3 linked regions of the Saccharomyces cerevisiae S288C genome follow. The protein of the gene in region 3 binds, or shares a complex with, the protein of the main gene of each other region. Each region holds a gene or a part of one and is shown on either strand. Other genes may lie near its edges. The genes, in order: SME1, PRP4 and SMD3.

What was found.
Region 1: SMD3 (region 3) and SME1 share a complex: the UniProt entries of both Saccharomyces cerevisiae proteins name them as parts of the sm core complex.
Region 2: SMD3 (region 3) and PRP4 share a complex: the UniProt entries of both Saccharomyces cerevisiae proteins name them as parts of the U4/U6-U5 tri-snRNP complex.

Annotation. Positions count from the first base shown.
Region 1 is NC_001147.6:632,782-635,731, forward strand, and holds SME1 (mRNA splicing protein SME1), read right to left. Parts: upstream 786-2,950; coding exon 501-785; downstream 1-500. Other genes in the region: mitochondrial 37S ribosomal protein mS26 PET123, read left to right, coding at 1-339; mRNA transport regulator MTR10, read left to right, coding at 1,058-2,950. UniProt on the Saccharomyces cerevisiae protein: Involved in pre-mRNA splicing. Binds and is required for the stability of snRNA U1, U2, U4 and U5 which contain a highly conserved structural motif called the Sm binding site. Involved in cap modification.
Region 2 is NC_001148.4:890,167-893,931, reverse strand, and holds PRP4 (U4/U6-U5 snRNP complex subunit PRP4), read right to left. Parts: upstream 1,601-3,765; coding exon 203-1,600; downstream 1-202. Other genes in the region: HDA3 (Hda3p), read left to right, coding at 1-135; Rab geranylgeranyltransferase BET2, read left to right, coding at 1,854-2,831; DPB2 (DNA polymerase epsilon noncatalytic subunit), read right to left, coding at 2,889-3,765. UniProt on the Saccharomyces cerevisiae protein: Involved in RNA splicing. Is required for the association of U4/U6 snRNP with U5 snRNP in an early step of spliceosome assembly.
Region 3 is NC_001144.5:433,493-436,108, forward strand, and holds SMD3 (mRNA splicing protein SMD3), read right to left. Parts: upstream 972-2,616; coding exon 666-971; downstream 1-665. Other genes in the region: SPE4 (spermine synthase), read right to left, coding at 1-233; YLR146W-A (uncharacterized protein), read left to right, coding at 378-566; tethering complex subunit PEP3, read left to right, coding at 1,149-2,616. UniProt on the Saccharomyces cerevisiae protein: Plays a role in pre-mRNA splicing as a core component of the spliceosomal U1, U2, U4 and U5 small nuclear ribonucleoproteins (snRNPs), the building blocks of the spliceosome. Also binds telomerase RNA and is required for its accumulation.

The sequences.
Region 1 (2,950 bases), on a different chromosome or scaffold from region 3:
AATGAATTCATCGTTACAGAATCCCAACTACTAAAGAAAATTGATAAGGTTTTTAACGATGAAACGGAGGAATTCACTGATGCCTATGATGTAACTTCTAACTTCACGCAATTTGGAAATAGAAAATTATTACTTTCAGGTAACACCACCCTACAAACCCAAATTAACAACGCAATAATGGGCTCTTTGTCAAACGAAAAGTTTTTCGATATTTCTTTAGTGGATTCATATCTGAACAAGGATTTAAAAAACATTTCCAATAAAATTGATTCCAAATTAAACCCCACCTCTAATGGAGCTGGAAATAATGGTAATAATAATAATACAACCAACTTGTAAATAACTAATATATATACTACTTCAACATGTCATGTATTCGAAAGTGCCTTAGACGCATTACAACTAAAGAAAAGAAGAAAAAAAAATCAAATCGAGAATAAATATGCCCATGTATATACGTCACTTGCGAATTGTCTATTTCTCTCGTTCCCCTTTTTCTTTCAGTCCGCTGATGTTATCAATGTGATATTATCGCCTTTCAACAGGATCTTCCCCAAGGGCGTGCCCTTCTCCACATCTTCTTTACCATCGGCACTATTCACAGGAATTTCCACGGCTTCATCGATGACAACATTCATGAACTCATCAAATCCAACTATTTTACCCTTGATTCTTATGCCGATTTGCTCGAATAACCATATCGTTACTGGTGTTTGCTGTTGTAAGAAGTTAAATATGCAATTTATTGGTGGCACCATGGCCTTGGTTTTAACTTTGTTCGACATTCCAAGCCTCTTGTTTTTCGCTCTATATCCTTCCTGTGTTCCTTAATCTCCTTTCCTTAGTATTATCTCTTACCTTTACCATCTATTATTGTTATTTCACTTCAATTTTCTATTTCTCTGTTAGATGCTCAGGCTTTCGGTATAATTGAAAAAAATTTTCGAACATAAGGGATATTGACAAAAAAATAAATGAAGGAAAAAGGCATGAAAATACTCGTTGACAGATCAGTATCAAGGATTTATTGAGGATATACTAAGGATTAACTTGCGTTATGGACAACTTACAGGTATCTGATATAGAAACTGCTTTACAATGCATATCGTCTACTGCATCTCAAGATGATAAAAACAAAGCGCTTCAATTTTTAGAACAATTCCAAAGATCAACTGTTGCCTGGTCTATTTGCAATGAAATATTGTCTAAAGAAGATCCTACAAACGCTCTTCTAGAATTAAATATTTTTGCTGCGCAAACTTTAAGGAATAAAGTCACATATGATCTATCACAATTAGAAAATAATCTACCACAATTCAAGGATTCTTTGTTGACGCTTTTATTATCGCATAACCAAAAATTGATTATTACACAACTGAATGTCGCGTTAGCACGTTTGGCGATCCAATTTTTAGAATGGCAGAATCCAATTTTCGAGATCATTTCATTGTTGAATTCTTCACCATCTATATTATTAAACTTTTTAAGAATTTTACCTGAGGAAACCTTAGACATTGCATCTACTTCCTTGACAGAAGTGGAATTCAATTCCAGAATTCATGAACTAATTGATCCGATAGCAGAAGATGTATTGAAATTCCTTGTATCATGCATAGACCTATTACAAAATACAGACGGGAATTCCAGCTCATCTATTTCATTAGAACAAATTTTACGGTGTTTGAACTCTTGGTCGTATGAATTCCCTGTTGAACAGTTGCTAACCGTACAACCCTTAATAAATCTCGTGTTTGAAACTATTTCCAATGGTAATGAAAGTGACATGGAGGCATTCGATTCCGCTATTGATTGTCTCTGCGTTATCCTCAGAGAAAGCAGAGATACTACTAATGAGCAGTTGATTTCTGCTTTATTTCATCAGTTAATGCTTTTACAAGAAAAACTATTGCCTACTCTGTTCACAGACCATCCTTTGAACGATGAATATGATGACGATCTCCTAGAAGGTATGACACGATTATTCGTAGAAGCTGGCGAGGCTTGGTCAGTTGTCATTTCTAAAAACCCCGATTTTTTTAAACCAATGGTTTTGGTATTATTGATGTTGACCTGCAAAAATGAAGACTTAGATGTCGTTTCCTATACTTTCCCCTTTTGGTTTAACTTCAAACAAAGTTTAGTTTTGCCAAGATATCAAGAATCAAGAAAAGCTTACTCTGATATTTTTGTTAAATTAATAAATGGTATAATTACTCATTTACAATATCCATCAGGCCAGTTTTCATCTAAAGAGGAAGAAGATAAATTTAAAGATTTCAGGTATCATATGGGCGATGTGTTAAAAGACTGTACTGCAGTGGTGGGAACTTCTGAGGCTTTATCGCAACCACTAATAAGAATTAAGTCCGCAATAGAAAACAACAATAGCTGGCAAATAATGGAAGCCCCATTATTTTCCCTGAGGACTATGGCTAAAGAAATTTCGTTGACTGAAAACACTATATTGCCAGAAATCATTAAAATCATTTGTAACCTTCCAGAGCAGGCCAAGATTAGGTATGCATCAACATTAGTTCTTGGTAGATATACCGAATGGACAGCCAAGCATCCAGAACTACTAGAAGTTCAATTGCAATATATTTTTAACGGTTTTCAACTGCATGAGGGTTCATCGGATATGCAAAGTATAATCACTGCATCATCACATGCATTAATGTTCTTCTGTTCGGACTGCTCTAAACTATTAGTTGGGTATATTGATCAGTTGATTAATTTCTTCCTCAACGTGCAGAGTTCGATTGATATTGAGTCACAATTTGAACTATGTCAAGGATTAAGTGCAGTAATAAATAATCAGCCAGAGGCCAAAGTTTCAGTAATATTTCAAAAGCTCGTAGATGATAATTTGCGACAAATCGAGGCTTTGATTCCTCAATGGAAAGCAAATCCAACGCTCTTGGCTCCACAGATTGCTGATAAGATTGATTTG
Region 2 (3,765 bases), on a different chromosome or scaffold from region 3:
GATCTAAACGAGGAGTTAGTGGGACAGTTATCGAAGACGATGGACAACTTGGAAAACTTAACAATTCCACGAGTTCGTACTCAAAATGGTAACACAAAAAAAAAATCCAGGGCAAAAAAACCAGGAAATGTATAATTAAATAAATAATGCAGTGTTAATAAAACGTTAGTTTCAAAAATACTAAATACATTTCTTTACACAATCAATTCCAGAGCTTGATAGACCTATCCCATCCGCCGCTCACTAAAAAATGAGAATTATTCGAAATATCCAAGCTAATAATTTTATCAGTGTGGCCTGCTAAACTTCCCATTTTTAACCACGTATCACTACTATACACATTGATCAAATTATCATAGCCACAAGAGACAAGTTTCTTTCCGCCGTCTTCCTTTGAAAACCTTACCTGCGTAACGATGTTACGATGCGCCAATATTTGATTTAGTTGGCCTTCATCCCGTTTTCTGATGTCCCAAACATTAATGATTCCATCACCACCACCAGTGGCTACTTGATACCCGTTTGGTGACCAAGCTACGGTGTAAATAGGCTTTGAGTGTCCTGCGAGTGTCATCACCTTACTTCCGGATCTTATATCCCATAGCATTGAAAGCGAGTCCATGCCACCGCTACAAACAAGAGATCCATCGCATTGAAAAGACAGACTAAACACTCCCTTATCATGGCCTTCTTGTAGCAGCAGTTCTTGATGTGTTGACGCATCCCAAAGTCTCCAAGTCATATCATGAGAGGCACTACCTATAAATTTGCCACTAGGGTGGTATTTCACATCAGAAATACGTCTTTCATGTCCCACAAGATCTCCCAATAATCGAAGGCCGCCCTCTTCGTTTGAGTATTGAAAGTTTTTGATGAGCCCGTCTTCTGCGCATGAAATCATTTGATTGTTTGAATCAGGATGCCAATCTATAGCTCCGATTTTCCCTACATGAGAGTCGAGTTTTTGTGTCAATGGCTGCAGTGTTTGAGAATTTAATACCTGAAGATCACCTGCCCAGCTTCCCGTTGCGACAACCATGTCATCGGTAGATAAAGAAACTGCGGAAATAGGCTTCGTAGATACTAATTGAGAGCCAGCAAGCTCTAAATTAGCCATACGCTGTAATTCTGTACGCCGACTGAGTAATTCCTGTCTTGTATTGAACTTTTGATGTCTTTCCATCTCTTTCTGTAGCCTCTTTCGAGATCTTTCAAGTGAATAATTTATCAAAAATCTTCTCGCAAAAATGAGCTCAGATGTTGCTGGAGTGAAGAAGTCCTCATCGTCCTCTTCGTCTACTTCTTCCCCATTTATGTTTTCCATGTTATTAATGTTCTCAAGATCAATTTCATCAACCATTAAAATTTCAGCCAACCGTATTCTTCTTTGTTGTACATCTTCATTCTCCACTACTTCCGGCTTCTTTAAAATTGAAAGCAATCGTCTCACCTCAAGATCTTCTTCTGGTATCTTCTCCAGGACAGCTTGTAATCGTTCATGTGGCAACTGTTTCAGTATATCAGCGGTGCTTTCATTTTGTGTAGCTCCTTTATGTTGCAAATCTACCGGAAGATTTTCAAGTGCAATATATTTACTCATATTCCGTTCAACAAGGTAATAGTACTAGTCATTTCCCTCAGGCTCGTTGCAAAGTTACGATTAGTGATCATGTAACAGCCTTTCCTTTACTAGCTCTCTACGTTTAAACATTTCCGTACTTAATGACTTCGCTTGTAATAGCGATAGTAATACCAGTAGTAAAGACAACAATTTAAGAAACTGTGTATATATATATTTCAGATACCACTACTGTTACTAATGATTCTGTTTTCTCCACTAGAAAATTGTGAACATGTCAGGATCTCTTACGCTACTTAAGGAAAAGCATATACGTTATATTGAATCATTGGATACAAAGAAGCATAATTTTGAATACTGGCTTACCGAGCATCTTCGTTTGAATGGGATATATTGGGGACTTACTGCCTTGTGTGTGCTTGATTCTCCAGAGACATTTGTGAAAGAAGAGGTTATATCATTTGTTCTGAGCTGTTGGGACGACAAATACGGCGCTTTCGCACCATTTCCAAGACATGATGCACATTTATTAACTACATTGTCCGCCGTACAGATCTTGGCCACTTATGATGCTTTGGATGTTCTTGGAAAAGATCGTAAGGTTCGCTTGATTTCCTTCATCCGTGGGAATCAATTGGAAGATGGTTCGTTCCAGGGTGACAGGTTTGGGGAGGTAGATACAAGGTTTGTTTATACAGCCTTGAGTGCACTATCAATTTTGGGTGAATTAACGTCTGAAGTTGTTGACCCTGCTGTAGACTTTGTACTCAAGTGTTATAATTTTGATGGTGGCTTTGGATTATGTCCTAATGCTGAATCCCATGCAGCTCAAGCTTTTACCTGTCTTGGCGCTTTGGCAATTGCTAACAAATTGGATATGCTTAGTGACGACCAACTAGAAGAAATTGGGTGGTGGCTTTGCGAACGACAATTACCAGAAGGTGGACTAAACGGTAGGCCAAGTAAACTGCCCGATGTTTGCTATAGTTGGTGGGTTTTATCTTCATTAGCTATTATTGGTAGACTAGATTGGATAAATTATGAGAAGCTAACTGAGTTTATACTCAAATGTCAAGATGAGAAGAAGGGTGGAATAAGCGACAGGCCTGAAAATGAAGTGGATGTCTTCCATACAGTTTTTGGTGTTGCTGGTTTAAGTTTAATGGGATACGACAATTTAGTCCCCATAGATCCCATATATTGTATGCCGAAATCCGTTACATCAAAATTCAAAAAGTATCCATACAAATAGATGGCAGAGTACCAACACTACCGTGCTTGTTTAAGTGTTCTTATTTTGATGCATTATTTAGATATATATCTCTTCTTGTATAGTTTTCTTTGAGGATGGAACGTACTCCATATACCTAGCACGTCTATTATGAATGAAACTTCCAGGGTTAATTACTTTACAACCGTTGTATGTCAAATCAAATTGTGCAGAAGTAGTGTCGCAAAGAACCATTGTCGATGGTATTGGGCAAAGTGTCAAAGTGTGGTCCAAATCCCATGAAATTGGGCGCAAGGAATCAAGAAATGGCGATAAATGACCCTGGTCTAGTATTGTTTTAACGAGTTTTCTTGTTTCTTGAACCTTTTGTGGTAACTGGTCTGGTTCTTTAACTAATTCATCGATTGGTACAATATCGGTGTCTTTAGACATCATGTTATCGTTTTCAGTATAAACATCTTCGCTCTCGTTGAATGGGAATTCCAAACGGTGTCTTTTGAATCTTCCGGATAAATCGTCCCTGAAAATGACTATTTCTTGGGATAAGTATGCTATTCTAGTTGGATTTGAGCTCCATACAACGTTTTTACAGACCTTGTTGATTTTTTTGGTAAACGCACTAGGAATTGGATCTTGCGGTAATGTCCCACTTGCCCCCAATGACACCATCGACCCCCATAAATCGTTAGGACCTGGAATAAATATCATTGTGGTATTTTCGGTCAAATTGTCAAATCTTGACAGAAGCGTCGCCAAGGCATCGAAATTATTCTTAAATTGAGTGGAACTACTTATATTCCGGCTACTCATTGATGCGAAAACGGGAACTGAAGTGAAAGAACCTTGCCAAATTAATAGGGTCGGTGGGTCATCATTTAATTTTTGCAAAATTTTGCTGAGTGCAGTCATAATTTTCAAATCATCTAGGAACAAATTTGCGCCGAGAATTACAAAT
Region 3 (2,616 bases):
ATCATCTCTTGATAGGCAAACTCATCAAATTCCGTACATTGGACAATACCATCGAGGACCAAAACAGTACCGTATACCTTGTTACGGAAGATTAAGATGTCCTGAAATTCACTGCGGGCTTCATAAAGTATTGAGTCCACGGTCATAGTAAAGGCCTGGCCCGGAAAACTTTTATCATTAATCTCTCTAAACCATCCATCTTTGATGTAAGGATGCTGTGAATTATTAACCATAATGTATAACTGAATCTGTCACTTTATCCTGCCTGTCTCATCGGCGTTTTGATATTTTATTTTTAACTAAAATCAGCAGCAACTTGAAAAATTTTGAGATAACCTTAAAAAGGATCTAGCAATAAAGAGAAGCTCGAAGTAGCCATGGACACTGAAGAGAAAAAAAAGACTACAGCGTCAGTAGAGCATGCCCGGATGTTGCAAAATGAAATACAACAGTTATTTGCTCAGTTGCGGGATACGAATTCTCAAATTCGCTGCGATCTTAACGAGTTTGAACAAATAAAGGAATCATCTACAACAGCGGATTCAACCACGAACAGTGCGAACTGATAAATTTATATTCAAATATATTTTACATAAACAATATTAATATATATATATATTCCCCCTACAATGATGAATGCGTTTCTGCCGTCACGTTTCCTATTATCACCTTCTCTTAGGTCCTCTTATTGGTGGCATAGGTCTTGATGAGTTTTTTTTGAATAATGGTGCATTCTTTAAGAGATCTGGAACAACGATAAATTTGATCTGTGACCCACGTACGAATATTTGATCCATGTGTGTTACAGCCCCCTGGGGCTCTGTAGCTATTACATCTCTTAGCTGTACGTTCATGCTATCTTCGCTTTCAACAAGTTTACCACGATAAGTCGCTCCCGTTGTTAGCTCCAGAGAAACGATATGTCCCTGTGCCTCATTTAATAATTTCACTGGTATTCCATTCATAGTCATTGTTTCTGATACGTGCCTCGCAGCGCTTTCTGATTCTCTTCGTATTGCTCTTATAAGAATTTTTTAACGATTTCAAAAATATCAAATCTATAGAACGAAAGAAATAAGAAGCTGCCATCCCTAGAAAAGTAAAAACTATAAGGTACCAAGAAGTAAAAAGAGAAATATAGGGATATAATGATAAAAACACGTATAGAGGAAGTTCAGTTACAATTCCTCACAGGGAATACCGAACTTACGCATTTGAAAGTCTCCAATGATCAACTTATAGTAACGACACAACGGACAATTTACAGAATAAATTTACAAGATCCGGCCATCGTCAATCACTTTGACTGTCCATTAAGCAAGGAACTAGAAACTATAATGAATGTTCATGTTTCACCAATGGGTAGTGTCATTCTTATTCGAACCAACTTTGGCCGGTATATGTTGCTAAAGGATGGCGAATTCACTCAATTGAACAAAATAAAAAATCTCGACCTCAGCTCGCTACATTGGATCAACGAAACCACCTTTCTGATGGGAATCAAGAAGACGCCCAAGTTGTACCGAGTTGAATTGACAGGAAAGGATATAACCACGAAGCTATGGTATGAAAACAAGAAACTCTCTGGTGGAATTGATGGCATTGCGTATTGGGAGGGCTCTCTGCTATTAACTATAAAAGACAACATTTTATACTGGAGAGACGTGACAAATATGAAATTTCCTTTAGTATTACCAGATGAATCTGAGCAATTTGAAAGGTTAAAACATCATGCGATAAAGAAATTCGATTCGTACAATGGACTCTTTGCTTGGGTCACATCCAATGGAATTGTCTTTGGTGATTTAAAAGAAAAGCAAATGGAAAAAGATCCTGCTTCTAATAATTTTGGAAAATTCCTATCTTCGTCGAAGGTTCTACTCAATTTCGAACTGCCTGACTACCAGAATGATAAAGATCACCTCATCAAGGATATAGTTTTGACTGCTTTCCACATCCTGCTTTTGAGAAAAAATACGGTAACAATGGTGAGTCAATTAAATAACGACGTAGTGTTTCATGAAACTATACCGAGACACCAGTTGACTGGCTCCAACACTGATAGTAATGAGAAATTTTTAGGCCTAGTAAGAGATTCGGTGAAAGAAACGTTTTGGTGTTTCTCAAACATCAACGTCTTTGAAATTATTATCGAAAATGAGCCTAATTCGGTATGGAATTTATTAGTTCGGGATAACAAATTTGACAAGGCCCTATCGTTGAAAGGCTTGACGGTGAGGGAAATAGAATCTGTAAAACTTTCAAAGGCAATGTACCTTTTCCACACTGCTAAAGATTTTCATTCCGCGGCTCAAACTTTGGGAAGCATGAAGGACTTGTCACACTTTGGGGAAATCGCATTGAATTTTCTCCAAATAAAAGATTACAACGATTTGAACGTAATATTGATAAAACAGTTGGATAACGTTCCCTGGAAATCAACTCAAGTCGTCTTGTCGAGTTGGATTATTTGGAATTTTATGAAACAATTGAATGATATTGAATTAAAGATAAACACAACTAAGCCAGCTTCTACTGATGAAGACAATTTGCTAAACTGGAACCTGAATCTCAAGGAGAAATCGAATGAACTAACGAAATTTTTGGAAAGCCATC